7 linked regions of the Cricetulus griseus genome follow. The protein of the gene in region 1 purifies or fractionates together with the protein of each later gene. This does not show direct contact. Links are inferred from orthologs where the notes say so. Each region holds a gene or a part of one and is shown in the gene's direction. Other genes may lie near its edges. The genes, in order: Igf2bp3, Hnrnpa2b1, Ilf2, Trim25, Ddx5, Ybx1 and Fus.

Region 1 (3,500 bases):
ACAAATGCTGATTTGCTTTTGGGAAGTATTTCTCTGGCTTACTGCAGAAAATGCAAGTGCACAAGATAGCTGGTTCTGCTTAGAATTGGCCAGTCCAGACAAGGAGCATCCTGAGCATCATACATCCTTCTGACCACTCTCCTCAGTTCGATGTTAGAGGGTGAGATGAAGTGGTCAAGAAATAAGTCACGGGGCTGGAGAGGTGGCTCGGTGGTTAAGAGCACTGGCCTATCTTTTAGAGGGCCCAGGTTCAATTCCCAGCACCCACATGGCAGCTCGGAGACTGTCTGTGACTCCAGTTCCAGGGGATCTGATTCCTTCACGATAATGAACATTAAATAAAAACAAAAAACCTTTAAAAAAAAAAAAAAAGAGTAAGCTGTGTTTTAAAACACGAGTGTAGTGCAACCGTGTGCCCAGTCATTGTCATTGAGAGAGTGGGAAGGAAGTTGTTACAGATCTTGGACTTGGGTCTTTGGGGTTTGATCCGTCACATTCTCAAGATACAGGCTCTGTCGTCTGGTTTCAGGTACCATTTGGGGCTGAATGATACTCACCCACCTTCCTCCTGTCGTCCTTGTCGCTTCTCCTCTTCCCGCCACAGGTTGCAGGAGCTGACGCTGTACAACCCGGAGCGCACCATTACAGTAAAAGGCAATGTTGAGACGTGTGCCAGGGCTGAGGAGGAGATAATGAAGAAAATCAGGGAGTCCTATGAAAATGACATCGCATCCATGAATGTTAGTACTGATGATGGAGACGTAAAAGATGGCTTTTGCTGCGCTGCTCTTTCACTTTATCGTGGGAAGTGATTTGAATGAGTTGTCTGCACCATCCCACATACCCTGGGTAACACAGAAGCCTGGGCATTGGGCTTAGCTGTCTCTGATTTCTGACAAATTAGATAGCTTTTGAGCCTTTGGCTTCTTGATGCAGGAGGAATGAGATTAGTACATGCCTCCCAAAGGTTATTTATTACCTCCTTCCCTGTGTTAATTTGAGGCCCTGGTGCAGGAAGGATGTGAGGACTGGAGGGAGATGAGTTAGTTAGATTTCCTGCCACGTGCAGCTTTCTTCTCCAGATCAGAGAGCTGCTGTCTCCTGTTCTACATGCTTCTTAGGGTTACAGTGTCGTGCATGGAAAAGTTACCATTAGAAAAACAGGCTTAAGAGCCAGGCGATGTGAAGCAAGCCCAGAAACTTGGGAGGCTGGGGTGGGTGGATTGCAAGTTCAAGGCCACCCTGAGTGATTTAGAAGGACCATGTCTTAAACATGATAATCCAGGTTCAGGACGATGAGAGTAGTGTCTGTGCTGGAGTGCTTGCCTAGCGTGCCTCAGCTCCTACTCTGCAGAATAGTTCAACAAAGCAGAAACCCAGGTTTGAATCTTACTGTGCTGGCCATATAACCTGGGAAATTGAAATTTTCGTGTGGCAAATGTAGTGAAGGCTACAAAAGCAAATTCCTGCCACTGTTTAATGGGTGGAATGGTGCTGACAACGGAACACTTCGAAAGTCTGTCTTCTAAAAAGGTGCTCCTTAAATATGAGGAGATGATTTAGCAGACTTCATTTGAGCCTGTCCTATGAAACAGTAACCTGGGAAAGGACTGTGAAGAACCTAGAATGCTGTCACTTTATCCCACATGGTAGCCTGCCATCTTTACATGATTGCTGCTTATCTAAGTGTTTCATAGCTGACTGGGAATTAATCTACCCCCATAGGCCTTGTTAACGGTATAGATACACTCCAGTTCAGTCCTACTCTCCACCTTTTTCAACTCTTATAAAATTAGGGCTGGAGAGATGGCTCAGTGCTTAGGAGCATTTAGCTGCTCTTCCAAGGGAATCAGGGTTTGATTCCAGGCACCCACAGGGCAGCTCACAAACATCCTTAATTCCAACTCCAGAGGATCTCACGCCCTCTTCTGGCCTCTGTGAGCACTGCATGCACACGGTGCACAGATATACAAGCAAACAAAACACCACACACATATGTTAAAGGGGAGGGGTGGATTAAACTGGAACAGTGTTCCCTTTATGGCTCCTGTATCCACCCCAAAGGTGTGCTTAGTTGTGTGCTTGCAGTGTGAAGAAGAGGAGACCTGAGTTTTGAAGGATTAGACTAGAGGGTGAGGCATGAAGATCTTTACGAGGCTTGTTCTGTGTACCTGTGACTCCAGAAAGCACACCTCACTCACTCACATTTCAGCTGATGTAAGACCTCCAGGGTGTGGCCATGGAAGGCCCACAGAATGCAGAGCGCCTTTCTGTCTCAAGTGCTCTGAGCTGCTGCCCTTTGAGGATCAAGGCAGGGCAGACAAATCCTCAATATAACGATGCTGAGAGGTGTGAACAGCACCTGTAGTTCTGTGGGAACGCCTGCTGTGTTCAAAAAGGAGTCTTAGTGTGGTGTTTTTTCTTTATTAGACAAGCGGTCACAATATGAATACTGTCACTTATAAATGCTCACTCCCTCCATACTTCTGATTGAAAATTAAGGGACCTTTTTACCATTGCAGCTTCAAGCACATTTGATCCCTGGATTGAATCTGAATGCCTTGGGTCTGTTCCCACCCACTTCAGGGATGCCACCTCCTACCTCAGGGCCACCTTCAACTATGACTCCTCCCTACCCACAATTTGAGGTAAGCACTCTGGCCCTTGCAATCAGACCTTATGCCGCAGTCCTGCTACAGTCAGAGCTAAATGGTGTGATGTTCATGCCAAACTGTATGCTGTATGATGTGTCACCTGTGTGGAGCTCGTCTGTGCTTTGTAGCACTTGTCAATAGAAACTTTTTTCTTTTTTTTAAGATTTATTTATCTATCTATCTATCTATCTATCTATTTATTTATTTATTACACAACATTCTGCTTCCATGTATATCTGCACACCAGAAGAGGGCACCAGATCTCATAATGGATGGTTGTGAGCCACCATGTGGTTGCTGGGAATTGAACTCAGGACCTCTGGAAGAGCAGTCGGCGCTCTTAACCGCTGAGCCATCTCTCCAGCTCCAATAGAAACTTTTAATTGGACCCCAAAATAACAAGCCTGGCTTGTTCTGAAGTTTTGGGGATTGGTAGAGTTGTGCAAATGTGTCATTTCGACAATAAAAAAATAGTTTGGTGAGTGTGTTTTATCTTTTGGTTCAGTACTGGGCTCAAGGCTGGTTTTCTTAGAACAGTGGTTCTCAGCCGTCCTGATGCTACAGCCATTTGACACAGTTCCTCATGTTATGGTTGAAAGGATGGTGTCAGCTTAAGCCACCAAGACCAAGTTCTCAGGACAAAGGAGATTTATTTTCCCCACAGGGGCAAGTGGCAGGAAATAAGAGAAAAAGACAGGAGAAAAGAGAAAAGGAGCAAGGGAAAAGAGATACTTGCCCCAAGGGACAAAGGACTGCCTCTGGATAGAGAGGAGACAGACATGGCCCATAGGCAAATGACAGTTTATGAGGGAACAGGGAAACCCTGTGTTAGGATGAGTTGGTTTG
Region 2 (4,042 bases), about 2.4 Mb from region 1:
AGCGCGCTGCAGCTCGGGCCTGGGGCCTCGCGGCGGCGGCGGCGGCTCTAACGTTATCCGCGCCCGCCGGCCGCGGCGCGGCTGGGGGAGGGGACCCGCGCGCTTTGTCTGGAGGCCCCGCAGCTGTCATCGCTCTCCCACCCTCGGCACGACTGTGCCGTCCTCCCCGTGCAGCGGCGCGGCGCGGCGCGGCGCGGCGCGGCGGCGCCTCAGCCAGGCCCCGCCAAGCCTCCTCCCCGCAGCAGCCCCGGGTCCCGGGGGCCCACGGCGGGGGCGCGGGGGCCCGCAGCCTCCCCGCAGGGAAGCCGGGCGCACGGAGCATCCCCGGCCCCGCCGCGCCGCGCCGCGCTGCGCCACGCGCGACCAGAAAAGCAAGGCACCGACTTCACCGCTCAGATGCTCCGGGCGCGGATCCTGCAGAGTCTCCCGGCTGCGCGCCTCAGCTCAGCCACATCCGAGGGGAGGGGGCGCGGGCGCGGGGCGCGGGCGCGGGCGGCTCGGCCGGGGGGGAGGGGAGGGGAGGCACCGCCCACGCCCAGGCCGCGCGGGGCCCGCCGGGAACGCGTCCTGCGGGGGGCGGCGTGCGCGCCACTCACCGTCCGCGGCGTGGCGCCTTGGGGGTCTCCTGAGGGGAGGCGGGCGGGACCGCCGAGGCCGCTCTGCGTCAAAGCCCAGCGCGCCAAAGCCGGGCTCCGCCCACCTCCTCGCCCCGGGGCCTGCGGGGCTGGGGAGCTTCTGAGCACCGCCTCTCACGGGGCGCGGGGGTCCCAGGGCCTCGGGTGCCGCCGCGGCAGCCGCGCTCGGACTGCACCCCCCCTGGGGGACGGGCACAAACAAACAAAGGCCGGCGCGCCTCGAGAGGCCCGCAGCGAGGATCGGCGAAGGCGTCGTCGCCGCAGGGAGTGCGGCCGGGGTGACGAGGGCCTCACGCCTGAGCGGCGACGCAAGCCCCGCCCGGCAGCGTTAATTTCAAACTGCGCGACCGTTTCTCCGGCTCCTTGCGCGGAGGTGTGGGGGGGGAGGGCCGGACCTCACTCCGGACGTAGTAACACGTTGGGCGCGCGAGCCTTCCGCAATTCACCAAACGCGGTTGCGCAAGTGACGTAACGCGGCCTCGCTATCCCGGGAGGGGGAGGGCGCACGCACCCGGCGCAAAAGGCGTGTCGAGGCCCTTCCCGCCATTGGCGGCGGTTAGGACGTTTGCGTAACGGCCTGACGTAGGCGGAGACGCGTTAGTGGGGGGAAGGTTCTAGAAAAGCGGCGGTCCCGGCTCCAGCGGCAGTAGCAGCGGCGCCGGGTCCTGTGTGCAGGTCTTTCCCCCGCGGCGCGGTTTCTCGAGCGGCGGCTGCTCTTCCCCCCCCACAGCGTCAGGACGAGTCCCGTGCGTGTGCGTCCGCGGAGGTCTTTCTCATCTCGCTCGGCTGCGGGAAATCGGGCTGAAGCGACTGAGTCCGCGATGGAGGTAACGGGTTTGAAATCAATGAGTTGTTGTTGGCGAGGGCATGGCGAGGCCGCCGTGGAAGCCGGCCACCGCCGCGGCGGGCGGGCGGGCGGAGGGAGGGAGAGCGGCCGCCCGAGCGGCGGTTGGCCCGGGGGCTCTGAGAGGGTCGTTGGCGGAGGCCCGATTGTCCGAACGCCTTCCCCGCCCTCAGCCGCCCGGCGCCATTTCCCTGAGCCGGGTGGGGGATGGGGCCCGGCCGCGGCCAGCGGCTCGTCCTCCGCAGGGGCGCGGGAGCCCGGCCGGCCTGGTTCCCCCGCGGGCCGTGCGCGGGCCCCGGGGCCCGGGGCGTGTGCGCGGCGGAGCGTTCGTTCGGGCGGCCACCGGGTCCCCTGGAGCGGCTCTGCGCGGCTCCCTCCCCCTCCCTCCCTCCTCCCCCCCGGGAACCGGATTTGGCGGCCGCCATTTTCCCGTCTCCTTGCTCGCAGCGGTTTTTCGCGTCCCGCACTCTGCGGCTCTGCCCGTTCGGCCCCTTCCCCCCCGCGTGGGAGCCATTAGCTGGTTTCCTTTGTCCCCGGCCCGTTTTGGTGGCGTTCCGAGGGGGATCTGGGGTGTTTTGAGCTCTGATCTCGGAGTCCTGCGCACCTCGTTTTAGGCGCTCCGCCCTCCTTCCCCCTCGACGAAATGGCGCCATTGCGCTCCCGAGCCACACGGTGTGCGCGGCCGGGTGGGGGTGGCGGCGGCCTCCGCAAGGGTTCCCGGCGCAGGCCCCGGGCGAGGAGTGCGATCCGGGCCTGAGCCTGCTGCTGAAGGCAGCCTTGCAGCAAAGAAACCATTTTACTTCCCCGAGCTGGCTCCTAATTCCTTTAATTAAGCGATTTGTGAGTCTGCAGTTGTAAAAGGAAGCCCAGAGTGCTCAGCTGTAGTTAGAAGGTGATCTTGGGCGGAGGGATATTTTTTTATTGCTGCGTATGTTTATTTTCCTGAAGGATCCTGATGTTTGAAATAATTCAGATTATGAGGATTTTAAAGGGAACCACAGGATTTGTTCCTAAAACAACAGATCTTTACGCGTGATGGTCACGTTAGGGAAGAGAAAATAACTTTTCGTAGTTCACCTTTGATTACAGCATGGAACAGTCCAGTATTAACGCAGGAACCTAGCTATGTAAAAACTTTTATTTGGGACACAATGTATTTGAACTTTGTCATTTGCTTTTTTCTGATTTATGTTTGCAAATGGTTGATTATTACATTGATAAGCATAAGGTTTCAAATTAAAGGGGTCTACTTGGTTATATTCTTTGACCCTAAGCACGTTTATAAAATAACCTTGTTTATAATCGATAGTGGACGTCGGGTAAGTTTGGAAAAACCTATGAGGTAAGTAATAAGCTTTTGCTTTTTGTTAGTGACATTAAAAATGGTAAGTTTATGCTTACAGTTTGAATTTAAAGATGGCACATCTGTGGACATTTATCTAGAATTGCCTGGAAACTTGGATTTCCAGTCATACTAAGTATTTTACACGTCCTATTTTAATCTTTAACCTATTTTGTCTACTCAATTTCTCCAAATTTCAGAACCTGAGAAAGGGCATCGAACAAAATTTTTACAGACTTTTTTTGAAGGAACCTTAATAGATTTGGGTTGTAATAAGAGTTGTGGAAATTTTTTGTGTGTTATGAATTTTGTCTTTTCAGTTTGTTATGCAATCAAGACAGGTCCTGGATAGTATTACCCAGTTTATAAGCATCTTGGTTTTTAAGCTGTTTTATTTATAAGTCAGTAATAACACAACTTTAGTATTTACTTCAGGAAATTACTATTGGAAATTTTTGAGAGATTTGTCAGAAGGCCACTAATTACTAAAAGGAAAGTTAAGCCAGGCGTTGGTGGCGCACGCCTTTAATCCCAGAGGCAGGCGGATATTTGTGAGTTCGAGGCCAGCCTGGTCTCCAGAGCGAGTGCCAGGATAGGCTCCAAAAAAAATGTAAAGTAACTGTTGGGGCAATAGCAACTGTAGATAAATGTGTGCTTCTTAGTACTGTAGCCTGAACACCAGACAAGGAGTGCCTCCCAAAAAATTAGATGGAATAAATTTTGCTAAGTTAAAAGAAAACTATTTTGAGGTGGTGCGTATATCTGGTGTTCAACTTTACTCATGGAACTTCTTTCAGAGTTGAAGGATCCCCCATTGAAATAGTTAGTCTAACTCCAGGGTGGGGGGGCAGTTTAAGGAAAGGCAGATCTGCCACTACTCTGAAATTGAATCCTGAATTAAGCAGTGGATATCGAAATTTCAGGGTTTTTTTTTTTCAATTTAAAAAAATAAGTTTGAGCAAAGTTCTGTGCTTGAGTTGTAGACTTTAATAAAGAATTTCATAAGAATTCTTTGATACCCTTTAAATCAGAGTTGGTTATGGTTTTTCTCAAAGGTTTTTAAGAAAGTGTAAGCTAAGGTAATTTATATGAATTAAAGTTAGATCAAATATTAGTGACTTTAAAACTTGCATAGTTCAGCTGAGGCAATTTTTGGTGTAACACAACTAATATGCAGTTTAACATATGGTTTAAATTTGATGTAAGTTTTTTTTTTCCCCC
Region 3 (3,500 bases), on another chromosome or scaffold:
ATGTACAGATCCCTGACGACATATTAGGTATGGTGGTATATACCTGTAATCCAAGCACAACTGGAGACCCAGGCAGGAAGATAAGTTTAATGTTAGCATCAGCTACATAGCAAGTTCAGGCCAGCCTATGATACAATAGACCCAGTATCAAAAAAATAACACAACAGAACAACAAGGTAATGAGAACTTGAATTAGGTTCTTCCTATTTATATTTGGACTTGAACATCTGAAGGAGTTAAAAGCCAGTGTTGCAAGCTGGGTGTTAACGTCTGTGAAATGGAGTAGATGGAAAAACAGAATCAAATGCACAATTTTGGGTGGGGGATGAGGGATGCGTGAGTATATTTATGTGTGTACACCATGCACAGGTGTAGTACTGGTTCCAGTGGAGGCTGAAGAGGGAGTCGGATTCCTTGGAACTGAATTCATAGGTGGTTGTGACCCCTATGTGGGTATTCCAAATTGAACCTGGGCCCTCTATAAGTCCAACAAGTGCTTTTAACTGCTGAGCCATCTCTCAAGGCCCCCCTCCTTTTTGGGGGCGCCAAGGTTTCTCTATAGCCTGGGTTGTTCTGCCTGGAACTCTCTGGAGATCAGGCTGACCTTGAACTCATGGAGATCTGTGTCCTCTGGAGTGCTGGGATTAAAGGCGTGGACCACCACCACACCTGATTTCCAGTCCCTATTATTATTTTTTAAGTGATTTTATTTATGTGCATAGTGTTTTGCCTGCATTTGTGTCTGTGTGAGGGTTTCAGATCCTCTGGAACTGGAGTTACAGACTATTGTGAGCTGCCATGTAGATGCCGGAAATTGGACCTAGGTACTCTGGAAGAGCAGTCAGTGCTCTTAACCACTGAGCCATCTCCTCAGCCCTATTTTTTTTTTTTTAAATATTTTATTATGTATACGACATTCTGCTTCCATGTATATCTGCACATTAGAAGAGGGCACCAGATCTCATTACAGATGGTTGTGAGCCACCATGTGGTTGCTGGGAATTGAACTCAGCATCTCTGGAAGAGCCGTCAGTGCTCTTAACCTCTGAGCCATCTCTCCAGCCCATCTCAGCCCTATTTTTATTTATTTAGTTTTTTTTTTTTTTTTTTTTTTTTTTGGTTTTGTGAGACAGGGTTTCTCTGTGTAACAGCTCTGGCTGTCCTGGAACTAGCTTTGTAGACCAGGCTGGCCTTAAACTCACAAAGATCAGTCTGCCTCTGCCTCTGCCTCCCAAATGCCTGCATTAAAGATGTATGCCACTATCACTTGGCCTAATTTTAGCCGGGAGATGGCAGCACATGCCTTTAATTCCAGCACTCGGGAGGCAGAGGCAGGCGGATCTCTGAGTTCAAGGCCAACCTGGTCTACAGAGTGAGTGCCAAGACAATCAGGACTACACAGAGGAAAAATGGTGTCTCAAAAAAACAAGTAGTAGTAGTAAGTGTTTTTATTACATTTGTCATCACATGTACACCACAACAAATGTGTGGAGATCAGAGGACAACTTGCAGGATTTGGTTCTCTGTGTGGGTCCCAGAAACTGATAACCCAGGGCCTTTATTGTCAAACCATCTCACTGGGTCTTGTTTATATATTTTTGAGACCAGGTCTCAGGTAGCCCAGGCTGGTGCTGAACTGTTGATTCTCCTGCCTCTGTCTTCAACGTGCTGAGATTATAAGTATATAACAATTTTTTTTTTCTTTTGAGAATCAGAAAAAATCTGTATATTATTTTTGGTAAATAACAAGTTTAATTTCTGGTTTAGTGTGAAATGGCTTTTCCTCGGGTCAAGCCCGCACCTGATGAAACGTCCTTCAGTGAAGCCTTGCTGAAGAGGAATCAGGACCTTGCCCCCAATTCTGCAGAGCAGGTATGTTCTTTCCTGAGTCTGTGCTAAGGCCTAAAGCATTAAGAGCTGGGCTGGAGAGATGGCTTAGAGATTAAGAGCACTTGCTACTCTTCCAGAGGACCTGGGTTCAGTTGCCAGCACCCACACGACAGCTCACAGCTGTCTTGTAAGTCCAGTTCCAGAAGATCTGATATCATCACATAAACATACATGCAGGCAAAACACCAATGTGCCTGTGAAATACAATTACAAAAAAAAAAAAAAAAAGAGCTAATAAAATGTTGTGTTGCTAGGATTGTAAGCCAGTGGTAGACCGCTTACCTAGCACTCTTGAGGGCTAGGGTTTCATTCCTATCAAGAGTGTTTTCAGAGCTCAAATTCCTCCTGTGTTTAATTATTCATTCCCCCTTCTTACTGTAGGTGGAGAGTCTAGTGATGATACAGATTAAAAATGTTGTTTTGTGTACTTTTTGGCCTTAGGGTATTTTTGCTTTGTGATGTTTTCAGGCTTCTATCCTTTCTTTGGTGACAAAAATAAACAATGTGATTGACAACTTGATTGTGGCTCCAGGGACATTTGAAGTGGTGAGTTTTTGATGAATTAATCCTAAGTAAGGGCACCCTTGGTGGTATGGAAATTTTCTTGTCCTTTGCCTGTCAAATTTCCAGTTGTCTGTTATCCAAATCAAAGCCCCAAATGGAAAAGTACAGGGACATTCTGGAACTCTTCATCCTGAGGATGAGATTTGTATCACTGGTCTAGTCATATGTGGTTGTTTGGGGGATGGGATTTTGTCGTGGCTGCTTCTAAATCTGGGTAGTAAGAAGCTGCTGAAATAGTTCTACCTTTGTTTCTCTAAATGTCCCTAAAATCCCCTTTTCAACAGCAAATTGAAGAAGTCCGACAGGTTGGATCATATAAAAAGGGGACGATGACGACAGGACACAATGTAGCTGACTTGGTGGTGATACTAAAGATCCTGCCAACATGTGAGTGTGTGTGTGTGTGTGCGCGCGCGCGCGCGCGCATCTGGTCTTTCTCTGTCGGGGTGGATCGTGGTGTTGGGCATGTTAGCCTGTCATGGGACGCCTGAGAGCACAGGATCCCTCAGAAGGTTTGAGTTTTCTCTGAGTATCTATGCAGTGGCAAGAGCAGATGGGCTTATAAAAACAGTTAGGTCTGTGTAAGTCAGAATTTAGTAGAGTTCTCAGCCCACCCTTCTTGGTATAGATTTACTTTATCTTTTTTTTATAGATTTGTTATGTATATAGTACTCTGCCTTCATGTATGCCTGCAGGCCAGAAAAGGGCACCAGATCCCATTACAGATGGTTGTGAGCCACCATGTGGTTGCTGGGAATTGAACTCAGGACCTCTGGAAGAGCAGCCAGTGCTCCTAACCACTCAGCCATCTTTCCAGCCCTTTATTTTATTTCTATTAGTGTTATGCTTGTATGAGTGTTATACATTCCATGTACATGCCTGAAGAGGGCTTTGGATCCCTTGGAACTGGAATTATACATGGTATGACCCACCAAATGGCTGTTGGGAACTGAACCCAGGTCTTCTACAAGAGGAAAAAGTACTCTTAACCTCTAAGCCTCCAGCCTACTTTCCTAAACATTGAGGTTAGATTTGGGGCTAATAAT
Region 4 (4,062 bases), on another chromosome or scaffold:
TTTGTTATCTTTGCCTTCTCTTTTTAATTTCGATCTCACTTCAGAACCTGGAAAGTGGACTTGAGGAGTTTACTGGGTCTCTTTGTGGCCACAGCGAATAAATCTTTTCCTGCTGTCCTCTTTTAATTTGTCTCTTTTAATTGTTTTTGAGGACGGGTCGCTGGAGCAAGGGTGTGATGCCTCACTTTTGTGATAATAATCATGTACCATCAATAAACGAAATTGCCAAATCTGAGTGTGTGACTATGGACCCTGCCTTTAGGGCTTGCCTGGTGATAAGTCAGAGCCCAGGACCAGGGAAGAAGTGGGAACTGAACAAGAAAGAAAGGAGAAAGGAAAGCAGAAAGGAAGGAAAGAGCAGTCACTTACTGCCCATATAATTGTGTTTTGCTGTTTTTGTTTTCCTTAAATTATTTATTATGTATTTGGTGTGTGTGTGTGTGTGGTGGGGAGGTAGGTAGAAGACGATTTCATGGAGTCTTTTTCTTTTTCTTTTCTTCTTTTGGAGACATGGTTTCTCTGTGTGGGTTTCCCTGTATAGCTTTACAGGCTGACCTCGAACTCACAGAGATCCACCTGAGTCTGCCTCCCTAGTGCTGGGATTAAAGGCGTGCGCCACCAAAGCCGGGCTAATTTCATGGAGTCTTAACCAGGGTTTCAGTAATTGAATTTAGGCCCCGCGGTCTTATATTTGCAAGTTCTCCCACCCAGACATCTTCTCAACCTGTTTTAGATGTTGAGACAGTCACTCACTCACTGTGTAGCCTAGGCTGGCATCAACTCGTGGCAATTCTCCTGCTTCAGCATTCCAAGTGACGGGAATTACAGGCGTGAGCCATTGCGCTCTGTGTCTACAGTATTCTGTTCTGTTTTTGCTTTGATTTTAATGAGGATAATAAGACCCTTCTTGTTCTGGAGGGGCGGTTGGGACACCTAGGGCACGGATGAATCTTCTCCAAAGCAGTGCTGCACTCAGGTAGGACGTAGGCCCCAACTGGGGGAATAGAAATACCCCTACTCTTGCGACAGTTCATCTGCGGAGTGGCCCTGAAACGGTAACTGGTGGTCATGCGGAGTGGCCCTGAAACGGTAACTGGTGGTCATGCGGAGGTCGCTCCGGCCCGCGGGGGTTGGGGAACCATCAGAACTCTGCTTGTCGTCCCACCTCCAGCTTCCAGCACTAGCTCAGAGGCCCGTCATCCCCCTCCCAGGACCCACGTGACTTCCTGAAAGCCCAGGGCGCCGCCCCTCCTGTCCAGTTTCGATTCCTTCGCCGCTTGCAGAGCACCGCGCGGTGGTGTTTGCCATTGTCCCTGTGCGTCCCGTCGGGTGCCCCCAGGAGCGCGATGGCTGAGCTGTTTCCTCTGGCCGAGGAGCTGTCGTGCTCCATTTGCTTGGAGCCCTTCAAGGAGCCCGTCACCACCCCGTGCGGCCACAATTTCTGCAGGTCGTGTCTGGATGAGACGTGGGAAGTCCAGGGCCCGCCGTACCGGTGTCCGCAGTGCCGCACGGTGTACCAGGTGCGCCCGCAGCTGCACAAGAACACGGTGCTGTGCGCGGTGGTAGAGCAGTTTCTGCAAGCAGAGCAGGCACGGACGCCGGTGGACGACTGGATCCCCCCTGCCCGCTCCGCTACAGCCACCGAGGTGGCCTGTGACCATTGCCTGAAGGAGGTCGCGGTGAAGACGTGCCTCGTGTGTATGGCCTCTTTCTGCCAGGAGCACTTGAGACCGCACTTCGACAGTCCCGCCTTCCTGGACCACCCCCTGCAGCCGCCCGTCCGTGACCTGCTGCGCCGCAAATGTCCCCAACATAACCGCCTTCGGGAATTGTTTTGCCCCGAACATGGCGAGTGCATTTGCCATATCTGCCTGGTAGAGCACAAGACCTGCTCCCCTACACTCCTAAGCCAGGCCAGCGCCGACTTGGAGGTAGGGAATGGCTGCTGAGGGTATAGAGGACATCCCGGGTCAGCTGAATTGTAGAGAGGGCCCACCCTGAGTATCTTGTCCAGTGGCTTGCTGGAGGAGATAGGCTTTACCGGGCCAGAGATCCACCCCTTAACAGAACCTCATGGCCCTAGGCTCCAAAGGCCACTGTCTGTGAGTTGGACAGTGTGGTGTGTGTGTGGGTGTGTGTTTTGGGGGGCGGTATCCCCACTGACCAAGCAGAAAGCAGGAAGATTATATAGCTCCCCCTCTTGCCCATTGCCTTCTTTCCCCAACTCTCTCATGTCTATTTTACGTAGCAAACAGCCGAAGGCACGGCTTAAGGGAGCCTGCCCCCAAGCCAGCGTTTGTACGATGGTGTTTAGTAGTTTTGAATATTGACTATGAACCCTGGGGGTTACGTCTCCCAGATCCTGGCAGCATGCAAGAACTGTGCACTCTTAGTTCTTTCCACAGTTCAGGAAAAGAGGCCCAGAGACGTTAGCTTAGCAACGCTGATGCAGTCATTAAGTCCAAACCGTCAGAGCTGGGAACCATGCTGCTTTGACTCACAGTTCTGGTTTCTTGTTCCTCTGTAGACCATGTCTGCTGAGTCCAGAGCAGGGAGCGTTCTTGGAGGTTTGTAAGCAGAAGCCTGTGTTGATCCGGAGAGTTCTAATGGACAGGGAGGGTGGGCAGAGCCCCAGGAATTCCTGCATATGACCTTCAAAGATAACCAGTACTGTTGCACCATGGTGTAGTCCATCTTTTTCTTCCTTCCTCTCTCTCTCTCCCTTCCTCCCTTCCTTCCTTCCCTCCTTCCTTCCCTCCCTCCCTCCTTTCCTCCTTCCCTCTCTTCCTTCTTTTCATTTTGAGACAGGGTCTCACTATGCAGTTAGTCCTGGGTGTCCTGGAACTCATAATGTAGACCAGGCAGGCTTCTAACTCACAGAAATCCCACCTGCCTCTGCTTCCCAAATGCTGGGACTAAAGGCATGTTCCACCACACCTGGCTAGTGTAGTCATTCTTGCTGTGTGAAACTGAGCAAGGATTTAGCCTCCCCACCTAGGTCCACCTTGATAAAGACAGGAGGGGAGAGAGAGGTCAGAGTTCCTGAGGACCTTCCAGGGTTGCAATGATTTTAGGAGCTTTAGGTTTGGAGGCTCCTGTCTTCTCCCAGTGGACTCGGCAGAAGCTGCCCCTCTGCCACATTTGTCGAAGTGTGGCCTGATCTCATTTCACTATCAAATGTCTGGGAAGTTGAGGCCTGTCCCAATGTTGTGAAAGGAATCATAAGTCTGGGTGAGGTTGGCAGGCTTTGCAATCGATGCCAGGAATGGGATCCCAACTCTGCTCCCTCTTACCACAGCCCTTCCCTGACCTTGCCTGGGTCTTAGCCAGGTTCCTCAGGTTGCCACCCCGACCCCCCAATTGTGGCAGTTGATCTCAAAGGTTTATCTTTTGAGTTCACCTCTGCTGTACACCCCATGAGGGTATGGACACCTCCGATTGTATCTGTTCTAGAAGAAAGTCTGCCCAGCCTTTGGAGCCTGGGGCACTGCTTTGCTCCCACAGAGCTGTTTGGCTTAATGCAAGTCACTGCAGATCTCTGGGTAGGTTGGGCCTCCTGGGAAGTGTTTTGGAGTCAGGATCTCATGATAGAAGGCCTGGAGCTTATGAGGGAGGCTCCTACTAGATTCAGTGCTAAGATATGGGTTTAAATCCTGATCCCTCTTGTAGCTTCTAGATGCAAAATGATAAAATGGGGTACACAATGGTTACAGGTTATAGTGAACAGGGGGCGAAGCTGGTGTGGTGGGTGACTCATGCCTGTAATTCCAGTGCTTGGGAAGCTCAGACAGGGAGATCACCATGAGTCTGAGGACAGCCTGGAGCTACATAGTTTTAGGTCAGCTCCAGGGTGAAAGTCTGTCTCAAAACAACAAATGGCCGTCGAGATGGCTCAGCTGGTAAAGGCACTTGATACCAAGGCTACCACCTGAGTTTGATCCCTGGGTTGGAAAGAGAACCAACTCCAACAAGTTGTCCTTTGACTTGATATCCATATGCACGTGGTCTTGGATGTGTGTGGATGGACACACACACAATAAATGTAATAAAAATTACGGAAAA
Region 5 (2,543 bases), on another chromosome or scaffold:
ATGCTTTGCATGATTGCCATGGTACAGCATTGTTTCAAACTGTTCACTGTGATCTGTGGGTCTTTGAGTTTCAGTGAGTTTGCTGAAATGTCGAAGAAATATTTCCAAACTTCAATGTTCAATGAAATTTTTGTTCAAGTTTGAAATGGAGAGAGCAGCTTTAAAAGGTACTAAGCCTTTTACAAATTGGTGAGTACTGGCACATGAGACCTAGAGCAGCAGGGTCAACTTCTCACACATAGTCAGTGGGAAAAGAAAGTGCCTTGAAAAAGTTCCTCCCTCACCTACACAGTAGTCGTCATGTCGAGACCTGCCAGAGAGAGACACATTCTCAAGTGAATCCTGGCTTCTTGGAAGCGCTTGCCTAGACGAGACACAGTGCATTAAAACAACTTTTGGGGGACAGGTATGTTTTTCTTGCAGCTGCAGTTGTAAGGTCTTGGCAAGACAAGCAGTGTGGCCAGAATTTTGAACTTCTGATGAGTGTGATGCAAAGGACCTTGTACATTTTTCTTAAAGGTCCTCAAAAATGAGCACATGAAGAGGTTGCTGTGAAACTTTTAAGTGGCCCTACTGCGCAGAAGCACTCAGATGTCACTTGATGATCTGTAAGGGGACTTTGCCAATTTGGGAATGTGCTAAGGAGAATACACATTCCCTTGATAGGCTGTCAATGGGCGGGTGATAACTTAATACAGCTGACATGTGCTTTTTTTTTCTTTTTTCTGCCCCCACCCTCTTTTTTTTCCTACCTCAATGGTATTCCTACAGGAAATGGATAACCATTTTAACTGTATTTTTTGCAGCCCGTACCTTCTTGGGAATACAATTGTCTAACTTTTTATTTTTGGTCTGGCTGTTGTGGTGTGCAAAACTCCGTACATTGCTATTTTGCCACACTGCAACACCTTACAGATGTGGAAGATGTGAAATTTGTCATCAATTATGACTACCCTAACTCCTCAGAGGATTATATTCATCGAATTGGAAGAACTGCTCGCAGTACCAAAACGGGCACAGCATACACTTTCTTTACACCTAATAACATAAAGCAAGTGAGCGACCTTATCTCTGTGCTTCGGGAGGCTAATCAAGCAATTAATCCCAAATTGCTTCAGTTGGTCGAAGACAGAGGTTCAGGTAAGAGATCTTACAGGTAGTTGGGGTCACCTCATTGTCTACAAAGTCTTTTTTAAGTGGGATTGGTGGGGTAAGTAGTTTATGTTGAAACCTAAGATCTGAAAGAACACTTCGGCTGCCATGAGTAGAGCTACCTAACTCTAGCACATTTATGCCATAGATTTGATACATTCTCGCTTGCTTTCTTGACAGGTCGTTCCAGGGGTAGAGGAGGCATGAAGGATGATCGTCGTGACAGATACTCTGCGGGCAAAAGGGGTGGATTTAATACCTTTAGAGACAGGGAAAATTATGACAGAGGTTACTCTAGTCTGCTTAAGAGAGATTTTGGGGCTAAAACTCAGAATGGTGTTTACAGTGCTGCAAATTACACCAATGGGAGCTTTGGAAGTAATTTTGTATCTGCTGGTATTCAGACCAGTTTTAGGACTGGTAATCCAACAGGGACTTACCAGAACGGTTATGATAGCACTCAGCAATATGGAAGTAATGTTGCAAATATGCACAATGGTATGAACCAACAGGCATATGCATATCCTGCTACCGCAGCTGCTGCGCCTATGATTGGCTATCCAATGCCAACAGGGTATTCTCAATAAGACTTTAGAAGTATATGTAAATGTCTGTTTTTCATAATTGCTCTTTATATTGTGTGTTATCAGACAAGATAGTTATTTAAGAAACATGGGAAATGCAGAAATGACTGCAGTGCAGCAGTGATTATGGTGCACTTTTTTCGCTATTTAAGTTGGATATTTCTCTACATTCCTGAAACAATTTTTAGGTTTTTTTTGTACTAGAAAATGCAGGCAGTGTTTTCACAAAAGTAACTGTACAGTGATTTCAAATACAATAAATGAAGGCAATGCATGGCCTTCCAATAAAAGATATTTGAAGACTGAATTAAGTGGAAATTGTACTTTATTTTACATATATGATGTCATGTAAAACTTGGCTTAGATAGTATGTTTCGGGGGGATTTTCTTTCATTTTGGTGTTTTCTTTTTACACAAAAACTAAAGTTGACTACTTGCCATTCTTTGATTTAGGATTTAGGAGGTGAGAGAATCAAGAAGGCCCTTAAGATGATCTATCTCTAAGAATTGAGGGGCAGTGGGTTTTTTTTATAAATTTGTTAGTAGCTTTCAGCATCAGGGATAACATGGTGACTGTTCTATTTTGCAAAAAGTGCTGGCATACTTTATTCTGGACCAAAATGCACAAAGTTGAAAGACTGTTAGCCCAAGAACTGTGCGCTGTGTCCTTGGTGCAGCTTACACACAAAGTAATCTAGTCATCACCCATTCACCAGGGTTCCTAGAGCCACACTGGCAGTCAGGAATGTCTCCACATTGTTTCAGGGCATTTTAAAGGTCTTCAGATTGTAGGCTAGTCAGTACTCC
Region 6 (3,500 bases), on another chromosome or scaffold:
ACTTCACTTCCTGTGTGCTTCCACGTGATCAACTTGTTGAAATATCCACTTGTGTTGAAAGTTATTTTAAGAATTTTCAACCTTTTTTTCCCCCCTTTATTTCTTTTTTTTTTTAATTGGGGGGAGACCAAAAGACCTAGCAAAGATTAAATTAAAATGCTTGTTTGGGTAAGGTGACTCTTACCTGTACTTACTACAAGTTGGAAATAAAATGAAGATTTAACAGACAAGAAACAGCAAGGGTTATTAGTCTTGCTGCCACTGATAGCCATGAGAGATTGGAAGGGGCTAAAGATGGTGACTAACATGTTTGGGGATTTTAATGCATACTTCTACTATCCCTATGACTGCAAATAATTGAGTTGGCTACATATGAAAGGTATGAAACTATACGACAGTTCAGATGACAGATGAGATCATTTATTTGACTCAACTCACCCAGTCTTATCCCATAAGGTGTCACCAATATGCTTTCCTATTTATTTTGCAAGTGGTATCAACATAGAGTTGTTCTTGGGACTTTGGCTACGAGGTTGTGGTGGTGTATCAAGTAGACTGCAGTTCTGGGCACCGGATCTTAATTGGCCTCAGATTTGTTGGTTGTCCGGCCTCCTCTGGAATAGAAATGCATGAGTGATCCTGTAACGGATACTGCTGTGATGTGGAATGAACTTGGGATTTGGAGTCCTAAGACCTGGATTTAGAAAAGTTCCCTGCCACTTAATAGCTGTGTGACCTTTGGCACTTCATAATTTTTAAGCCCTATATAATGTAAGACTTAACTGTTTTCTGGGGAGGTGGTAACCAACAGGTCTCTTACAGAGAGAGATATATACGAGTGGCATAGATACATGTGAAATGCATTTCCCTGGAAGTAGTCATTATAGACAGGCTGGAAGGGATTTTGCTTGACATTTGTAATTGAGTTTGATATGGTAAAGGGACAAGAGTTGGTATGGTCAAAGTTGAAGCATGTAAAACTAAACTTGCCTGTCATCTAAACTGGCCGTGTGTCGGGCTAGCTTCTATTAAGTGCAGTCTTTGGGGGATAGATGGAGGCCTTATTTTGTTCCAAGCTTTATATGTGATGCTTTTGCAAAAAGTATATTAAAACACATTGTTGTCTGTCTTGGGTACTAAATTACTTAGTTTTGTAAATAGTGGTAAAATGCTGGGGCCTTGTAAGATTGGAGTCTCTTGGTAGAGGTTGGGGGTAAGGTAACATTGGTCCCTGCTTTCCTAAATTATTGACAGTTTGGTCTTACATAAAGCAAATTTTAAGTATATATCCAAGCTAAAAATGATATTGACGCTGGTACATTTTAAATGAAAAAAGCACATTCTTCTCCCCTGTTAATCTATTTTTGGAATGATGTTACTAGACTGCCATAAAGAAGAATAACCCCAGGAAGTACCTTCGCAGTGTAGGAGATGGAGAGACTGTGGAGTTTGATGTTGTTGAAGGAGAAAAGGTGAGGATGCTTTTTGTGTAAAGGTTTGACTTCGGTATGGAAATAATTTGGAGATTTCATCCATTAGGATGGTGGCTCTAATTGGATGGATGATGTGTTCTGGTGACCACATGAACACAGGTGCATCAAGCCTAACGTGCTGCTGCAGTTAGAGAACAGTCCCTTCAGAAGAGTGAGGAGCTGATGACGCAGTCATTCCTATGCACCCTTTCCCATGCAGACAGCCTCCCTCGTTTTTTTGTTTGCTCTTGGGTTTTTTGTTTTGTTTTTTTTTCCCCCTCCCCAGCTTGAGTGAAATTTATTGAATATTTGGATTTCTTTTGTTATTGTCAATAAATAATGGCTTTTGTAGGGTGCGGAGGCAGCAAATGTTACAGGCCCTGGTGGAGTTCCAGTTCAAGGCAGTAAATACGCAGCAGACCGTAACCATTATAGACGCTATCCACGTCGTAGGGGTCCTCCACGCAATTACCAGCAAAATTACCAGAATAGTGAGAGTGGGGAAAAGAACGAGGGATCGGAAAGCGCTCCTGAAGGGCAAGCCCAACAACGCCGGCCCTATCGTAGGCGAAGGTTCCCACCTTACTACATGCGGAGACCCTATGGGCGTCGACCACAGTATTCCAACCCTCCTGTGCAAGGAGAAGTGATGGAGGTAAGTGCCAGTATGTATGCAACAGCATTTTTGCTGTCTCAGGGCTAGTGCTGAGTGAGCACCAACCATACATACTCCTTATAACAGCCTTTGAGAAAGACTATTTTAACTTAATCGTGGAAATTTTCCCCTAAATTAACCTGTTACCACAGAATGCACTTTTGATTATGAAGAAACCACCAAGCTTGTTAATGTATGGTGTGATCATAATTATTAGATATCTTGTACTCAGGAATTGGAATTTGGCCAGGAAAGTGTTTTCTGGTTTGAACTTCAGATTGGGATTTTGTTCTTGTTGTGGACCCAATAGACTTTAATTTCTAATGTCTTCTGATGTCTTTTCAGGGTGCTGACAACCAGGGTGCAGGAGAGCAAGGTAGACCAGTGAGACAGAATATGTATCGGGGTTACAGACCGCGATTCCGCAGGTATGGTCCATCGTAACCTGTTTCTGTTGCATTCTTCAGCCAGATGTTAGGCCTCTCCAGCATCGTGAGTTAATACTTCATTCTCTTTCACTGATGCATAAGAAGTGCTCCTGAAGTGAGTAGTCTTTGAGAATGTGTTCTTTCTTTTTGGTTTCTCTGTTTTGGAGCCTGTCCTGGGCTCTGTAGACCAGGCTGGCCTGGAACTCAGAGATCTGCCTGCATTTGCCTCCTGAGTGCTGGGATTAAAGGCCTGCGCCACCAGTGCCTGGCTGAGAAATGTGTTCTTTCCAGCTTTGTCACTGCTTTTATAGTCACAGCTTATATAGTTGAAATCTACTGTATATGGTTCTGTCCCCGAACAGGTAAGAGTATTTCAAATGACAGTATCTAAACATGGCTTACTTAGGAAGGGAGAAAGGTGAGGGTAATAAATAGAAAGTCCTGTGTAGTGGTGTTTGAGGTAATAGGAGCTATTGGAATAATAGGAAAGGCTTCATGTGCAAAGCTGGATCTGCTGGACTTAGAGGAAGGTTTAGGAGTTAGAGAACCCAATGAGGTTATATAACTATGCAGCAACAGCTAGTGCTCCACATCCATGGAGTGTTTATATTATCAGCCAGTTTCTCACCCTGTCCCAAATTTGGGATTGAACCCAAAGACCACTTATCTGACAGATAGGACTCACCGGTGAGTGTATTGTGTATGTCATCCTTGGGTGTCTTTCTCAATCATTTACCTTAGTTTTTTTGAGTCTTTACTGGATCTGGAGCTCATTAATTGAGCTAGACTGGGTTTCTGTCCTTGGTGCTAGTACTCAAACGAACATCACCACCCAGCTTTTTGGGTTTTTGGTTTTTCAAGCTTCTCTGTGTCCCTGCCTCTGTAGCCACACTGGCATTGAACTCTGCCTCCGGCATCTGCCACCAGTGCCCAGCACTTTACCAC
Region 7 (3,948 bases), on another chromosome or scaffold:
GCCAGTGCTCTTAACCTCTGAGCCATCTCTCCAGCCCCCTTGAATTACATATTTGTCCTTTCCCTTACAAAAAGTACACAGGCTTTTAAATGCTCTAAATCATTTCATGTAGTCAAGAAGCATTTTGTAGTTTCATAGATTTAGATTTTAAACATCAGAAGGTCTGACCCTGAACTGCCTTACACTCAGGGCAAGTTCTTAGTCTTGGGTTTTGAATGCACTCATTAAAATCCCAACCCTACTCACAGGCACCTCTGCCTGGATCGGGCCTGGAGATGTACTCAGGGTCACGCACCGGCTAAGCAATCACTCTATCATTAAGCTACATCCCCAGACTTCATTTGCAGCAGACAGATACATTTATTTTCTTTACAAGATGATGATGGGGAAAACCAGGTCGACTGTTAATACTAGAATGCGTTGCTTTAAGGCAAAGAGGATCATGAATTCGAGGTCAGCTGGGCTGTGCTGAGAGGCAAAAAATAAAAAATAAAAAAGGTGGGAAATTGTGGGTTTCGAAACCACTTAAGCGGTAGACATGTTAGTGTTGAACCAGACTAGGCTATGGGATCCAGGCTAAAGCCCATATTCCTTCAGGTCAAACGTCACAATCTACAAACCTTGGTAAGGTCTAAGGAACAGCAAGCTGGGGCACCGCTAAGTGAAAACCGAGAAAAGGGACAGAGACTGATCATGCTTTCAGGAGAGAATGTGGAGAGCCAGAGCGACCACACTGCGTTTGGCTTAGTTGACCGGCCAGGGCAGGCGGAAGCACGCTCTAGCCAGTGAAAGTGGGGCCCAGCCGAGGGGCCCCGTCAGAGGAATTTCGGTTCCCACACCCGGGGACTCCAGGCCTCGACTACAGTTCTGCGTTCAAGCTCAGGGCCCTGGCACCGCCCATAGCGGGAGGCTGGATCGTACCATTATACCTTTGGAGGGGTAGGAGTGCGGCGAAGCCGGGCCCCGGGGGGAGGGCGGATGAGAGCTAATTATCCTCAAGATGACAGTGCATGCGAGGACATCATTTTCAAGTGAGTTCCCTTTTCTTTTGTCTCTCTGGGTCCTCTACTTCCTCGGGAAGGGGCAGGAACCCGGCCGCGCTCCCCCCTCGCGCCGTCCCACTTGGTACGTCCGCGGGGCGCGTAGGCGGGAGGCGTACTTAAAGTCGGCGCGGGAGGCGGGGCTGCTCAGTCCTCGCGGCGTCCCTTCGCAGTCGTCTGGAACCCTGTTGCTTGGCGGCCTGTGCGCGCGTGCGCGGACATGGCTTCAAACGGTATGTGAGGGCGCGAGGCGGCAATGGCGCGTCCCGGGGAGCCTTCGTTCCCTCCCAGCCAGACTTTTGAGTTTTCGGTGGGCCTGTGGTGGCGTGCGAGTGTGGGCTCCCGCACCTCTGTGGCGGGAAGCGGCGGGAGGAGGGCAGGGGAGGGTGGTGTCGCCATTTTGTTTGGCTCCTGTGGCGGCCTTTGGCGCGGAGTCTGAGGGCTCTCTGGGCCCTTCGACTCGGGGAGGGTGTGGAGAGGGACGCTGCCTGGCGACGTGGAGTGAGGGGAGAGGAAGCGCCAGGTCTCTCTAGCGGCGCCCCACCCCCTCCCTCCCGGCCTGCCGGGCCCCGCTTTGTCGCAGTGCTGCATCCGGGCACTTGGCGCGCGCACGCGCTCCTCTGGCCCCTCCCCCTTTCTCGGCGCGGTTTTTCCCCCTCGCCCGCCTCGAGTTGGTTTGGATTTTTTTTTTTTTTTTTTTTTTTTTTTTTTTGTCGCGAGACCCTCGGCGGAAGACTGCTGGTCCGGTGTTGGCCTCGCCCTGCTCCCCGGGTCCCTCGGGAGGGGGCGGGGCTGTCCTGTTCGCGCCTCCGGGCCGGAGCGAAAACGCTCCCAACTGGCCCGCGTGTCCGTGAGGTTGGGGAAAATGACGAACGGACTCAGGGATCCGGCCTGAGGGCTTTCCCGTTTCTGAATTTAGTTTTCCTGAGGCAGGAAGGAAACCAAAGGAGTCGCCTTCCGAGGCCACACCCTCTTGGCTGTCATTTTTTTTTTTTTTTTTTGCCTCCTGCGGGGGCAGACCCTGGGTTTCCTGCTCGAAGCCGAGCTACTGCTTACCGTCTTTGCTTCTCCATGCGCACGATAGGCGGGAGCACACTCGCTGGGAGCCACAGGTCTTGGAGCCTTGAGGCTACTTAGGGTCAAAGAGCTTTGCTGCCTTGTTTGGCTTTGTACTAAAACTCCCCTTTGCCTTAAGGTCTCCGAGGTTAGTCACAAGGTGAATGGATTTTTTTTTTAAAGGCATTTGTTTGGTGTTGGAGGGTCACAATTCTTCAGACTGCTTGGACTCGAACGGTGTGATAGCTCTGTGACTGTACAAGTTAATCTAATGGACTCCATGTGGTGTGTGTTGCAGGCCTTGGAAAGGCCGAGACGAAAATTTTTAAAGTTCAGGGACCGTCTGTGTTGTATTTTGAGACTTTTTGAAGAAAAAAATTGAACCGGGTGTGGGGGCACATACTGCTTTGATCCCAGGAATAGGGAGGCAGAGACGGGGATTTTTTGAGTCTGCATGGTGAGTTCCACATAGCTTGGTCCACATAGTGAGTTCGGGGGCAGTCAGAGGTATGTAATAGAAACTCCTGTCTCAAAAAAATCCAAAAACAAAAATTTTGACTATAAATACAGAAACAGTCCCATGGCAATGTTTTTAGATAATAGTTATCCACAGAAATATTTGTATGGTGCCTTGGACTGGTGTCACTGGTAGCTAGCTTAGCATGGCCCAGGCCCTGGCTTCTACCCAGAACAAAACAGAAATCTAAGACTTATTGGTGTCTAGGAATTTGTGTCTTTGCTTATTGTATTAAAACTTGTATTCAGTTTGCTTTCCTCACAACTGGTGTTTCATGAAGGACTTAATGCCTGCATGTTTTTGCAATGGCATTTTGTAGATTTAATGTGATCTGGAGTGCCTCGTACCTCTTTTTTTAAAGACAGGGTTTCTTTGTGTAGCCTTGGCTGTCCTGGAACTAGCTCTCCTGTATGTAGATCAGGCTGGCCTGGAACTCAGAAATCCACCTACCTCTGCTGGGATTAAGAGTTTGTCTCATCACCACTCTTCTTAGAGTGCCTAGTACTTAAGTTGAATTTAATTCTATTCCAGTCTTAACTAAAATTAACATGACTTTTTCCCCTTCTCATCTTTTACAGACTATACCCAACAAGCAACTCAAAGGTGAGTGTTGTTTCTGGGCTGGAGTTTGTAGGTGGTAAGGGTGGTCAGTGTAACTTGTGTTGTTTTTGTATGCTTTTTTTCTTTCAATTGAAGATAACTTTTCTGATCCTCTCCCCCTCCCCCCTCCTAGCTATGGGGCCTATCCTACCCAGCCTGGGCAGGGCTACTCCCAACAGAGCAATCAGCCCTATGGCCAGCAGAGTTACAGTGGCTATGGCCAGTCAGCTGACACTTCAGGATATGGCCAGAGCAGCTATGGTTCTTCTTATGGACAGACCCAAAACAGTGAGTCTCTTAGTGGAACAAATCTTCATTCATTTTTCTTCTGAATGTTAGTAATTGTTCTTAAACCTGAACAGTATTGAAAATCTCCTATTTCCCCTTGTCAGTCTGTAATTGTTAATTTCGTGATTAGTCTTTTTAAAACAAAATGGCTTGTAATTGTCTCTTTGTTAGATGATTTCCCCCATATATTCATTTTTGTGGAAAAGCAAGTTTCCTAAAGAGAACCAGTTTTAGGGTGGAAGAAAATGATTTGCTTGAAAATTTTTGAAGTTGGGCCGATACATGTGATTCACAAAGAGATGGTATTTGCCCTTAGATTCACAAGGGCAAAAATACTGTCCATATCAGCACATTAAAATTCAGCTAGTAGTGACCTTTTGTGCCATGATTACTGGCATGGGGAACCTGGATTTGGGATAGATAGAGTAACATGCCAGGTGGTTGGTA

The links.
Region 2: the proteins of Igf2bp3 (region 1) and Hnrnpa2b1 purify together in Homo sapiens (affinity purification with mass spectrometry; 4 studies listed by BioGRID and IntAct, with this or other methods). This does not show direct contact. The link is inferred for Cricetulus griseus from reciprocal best matches to the Homo sapiens genes IGF2BP3 and HNRNPA2B1.
Region 3: the proteins of Igf2bp3 (region 1) and Ilf2 purify together in Homo sapiens (affinity purification with mass spectrometry; 3 studies listed by BioGRID and IntAct, counting the BioPlex papers as one, with this or other methods). This does not show direct contact. The link is inferred for Cricetulus griseus from reciprocal best matches to the Homo sapiens genes IGF2BP3 and ILF2.
Region 4: the proteins of Igf2bp3 (region 1) and Trim25 purify together in Homo sapiens (affinity purification with western blotting; 3 studies listed by BioGRID, with this or other methods). This does not show direct contact. The link is inferred for Cricetulus griseus from reciprocal best matches to the Homo sapiens genes IGF2BP3 and TRIM25.
Region 5: the proteins of Igf2bp3 (region 1) and Ddx5 fractionate together in Homo sapiens (co-fractionation; 3 studies listed by BioGRID, with this or other methods). This does not show direct contact. The link is inferred for Cricetulus griseus from reciprocal best matches to the Homo sapiens genes IGF2BP3 and DDX5.
Region 6: the proteins of Igf2bp3 (region 1) and Ybx1 purify together in Homo sapiens (affinity purification with mass spectrometry; 3 studies listed by BioGRID and IntAct, with this or other methods). This does not show direct contact. The link is inferred for Cricetulus griseus from reciprocal best matches to the Homo sapiens genes IGF2BP3 and YBX1.
Region 7: the proteins of Igf2bp3 (region 1) and Fus purify together in Homo sapiens (affinity purification with mass spectrometry; 3 studies listed by BioGRID and IntAct, with this or other methods). This does not show direct contact. The link is inferred for Cricetulus griseus from reciprocal best matches to the Homo sapiens genes IGF2BP3 and FUS.

Annotation. Positions count from the first base shown.
Region 1 is NC_048601.1:92,237,672-92,241,171, forward strand, and holds part of Igf2bp3 (insulin-like growth factor 2 mRNA-binding protein 3), read left to right. Parts: intron 1-604; coding exon 605-740; intron 741-2,522; coding exon 2,523-2,648; intron 2,649-3,500. UniProt on the Homo sapiens protein: RNA-binding factor that may recruit target transcripts to cytoplasmic protein-RNA complexes (mRNPs). This transcript 'caging' into mRNPs allows mRNA transport and transient storage.
Region 2 is NC_048601.1:89,866,113-89,870,154, forward strand, and holds the start of Hnrnpa2b1 (heterogeneous nuclear ribonucleoproteins A2/B1), read left to right. Parts: upstream 1-1,242; 5' UTR 1,243-1,456; coding exon 1,457-1,462; intron 1,463-4,042. Other genes in the region: translation initiation factor IF-2-like, read left to right, coding at 1-629. UniProt on the Homo sapiens protein: Heterogeneous nuclear ribonucleoprotein (hnRNP) that associates with nascent pre-mRNAs, packaging them into hnRNP particles.
Region 3 is NW_023276806.1:64,071,091-64,074,590, reverse strand, and holds part of Ilf2 (interleukin enhancer-binding factor 2), read left to right. Parts: intron 1-1,767; coding exon 1,768-1,872; intron 1,873-2,358; coding exon 2,359-2,436; intron 2,437-2,738; coding exon 2,739-2,841; intron 2,842-3,500. UniProt on the Homo sapiens protein: Chromatin-interacting protein that forms a stable heterodimer with interleukin enhancer-binding factor 3/ILF3 and plays a role in several biological processes including transcription, innate immunity or cell growth.
Region 4 is NC_048600.1:102,138,288-102,142,349, forward strand, and holds the start of Trim25 (E3 ubiquitin/ISG15 ligase TRIM25), read left to right. Parts: upstream 1-1,262; 5' UTR 1,263-1,346; coding exon 1,347-1,931; intron 1,932-4,062.
Region 5 is NC_048600.1:119,726,984-119,729,526, reverse strand, and holds the end of Ddx5 (probable ATP-dependent RNA helicase DDX5), read left to right. Parts: exon of another isoform or gene 1-915; coding exon 916-1,140; intron 1,141-1,332; coding exon 1,333-1,739; 3' UTR 1,740-2,043; downstream 2,044-2,543. UniProt on the Homo sapiens protein: Involved in the alternative regulation of pre-mRNA splicing; its RNA helicase activity is necessary for increasing tau exon 10 inclusion and occurs in a RBM4-dependent manner. Binds to the tau pre-mRNA in the stem-loop region downstream of exon 10.
Region 6 is NC_048595.1:32,884,212-32,887,711, forward strand, and holds part of Ybx1 (Y-box-binding protein 1), read left to right. Parts: intron 1-1,382; coding exon 1,383-1,472; intron 1,473-1,824; coding exon 1,825-2,127; intron 2,128-2,472; coding exon 2,473-2,555; intron 2,556-3,500. UniProt on the Homo sapiens protein: DNA- and RNA-binding protein involved in various processes, such as translational repression, RNA stabilization, mRNA splicing, DNA repair and transcription regulation.
Region 7 is NC_048596.1:72,806,552-72,810,499, reverse strand, and holds the start of Fus (RNA-binding protein FUS), read left to right. Parts: upstream 1-1,148; 5' UTR 1,149-1,260; coding exon 1,261-1,273; intron 1,274-3,191; coding exon 3,192-3,216; intron 3,217-3,346; coding exon 3,347-3,501; intron 3,502-3,948. UniProt on the Homo sapiens protein: DNA/RNA-binding protein that plays a role in various cellular processes such as transcription regulation, RNA splicing, RNA transport, DNA repair and damage response. Binds to ssRNA containing the consensus sequence 5'-AGGUAA-3'.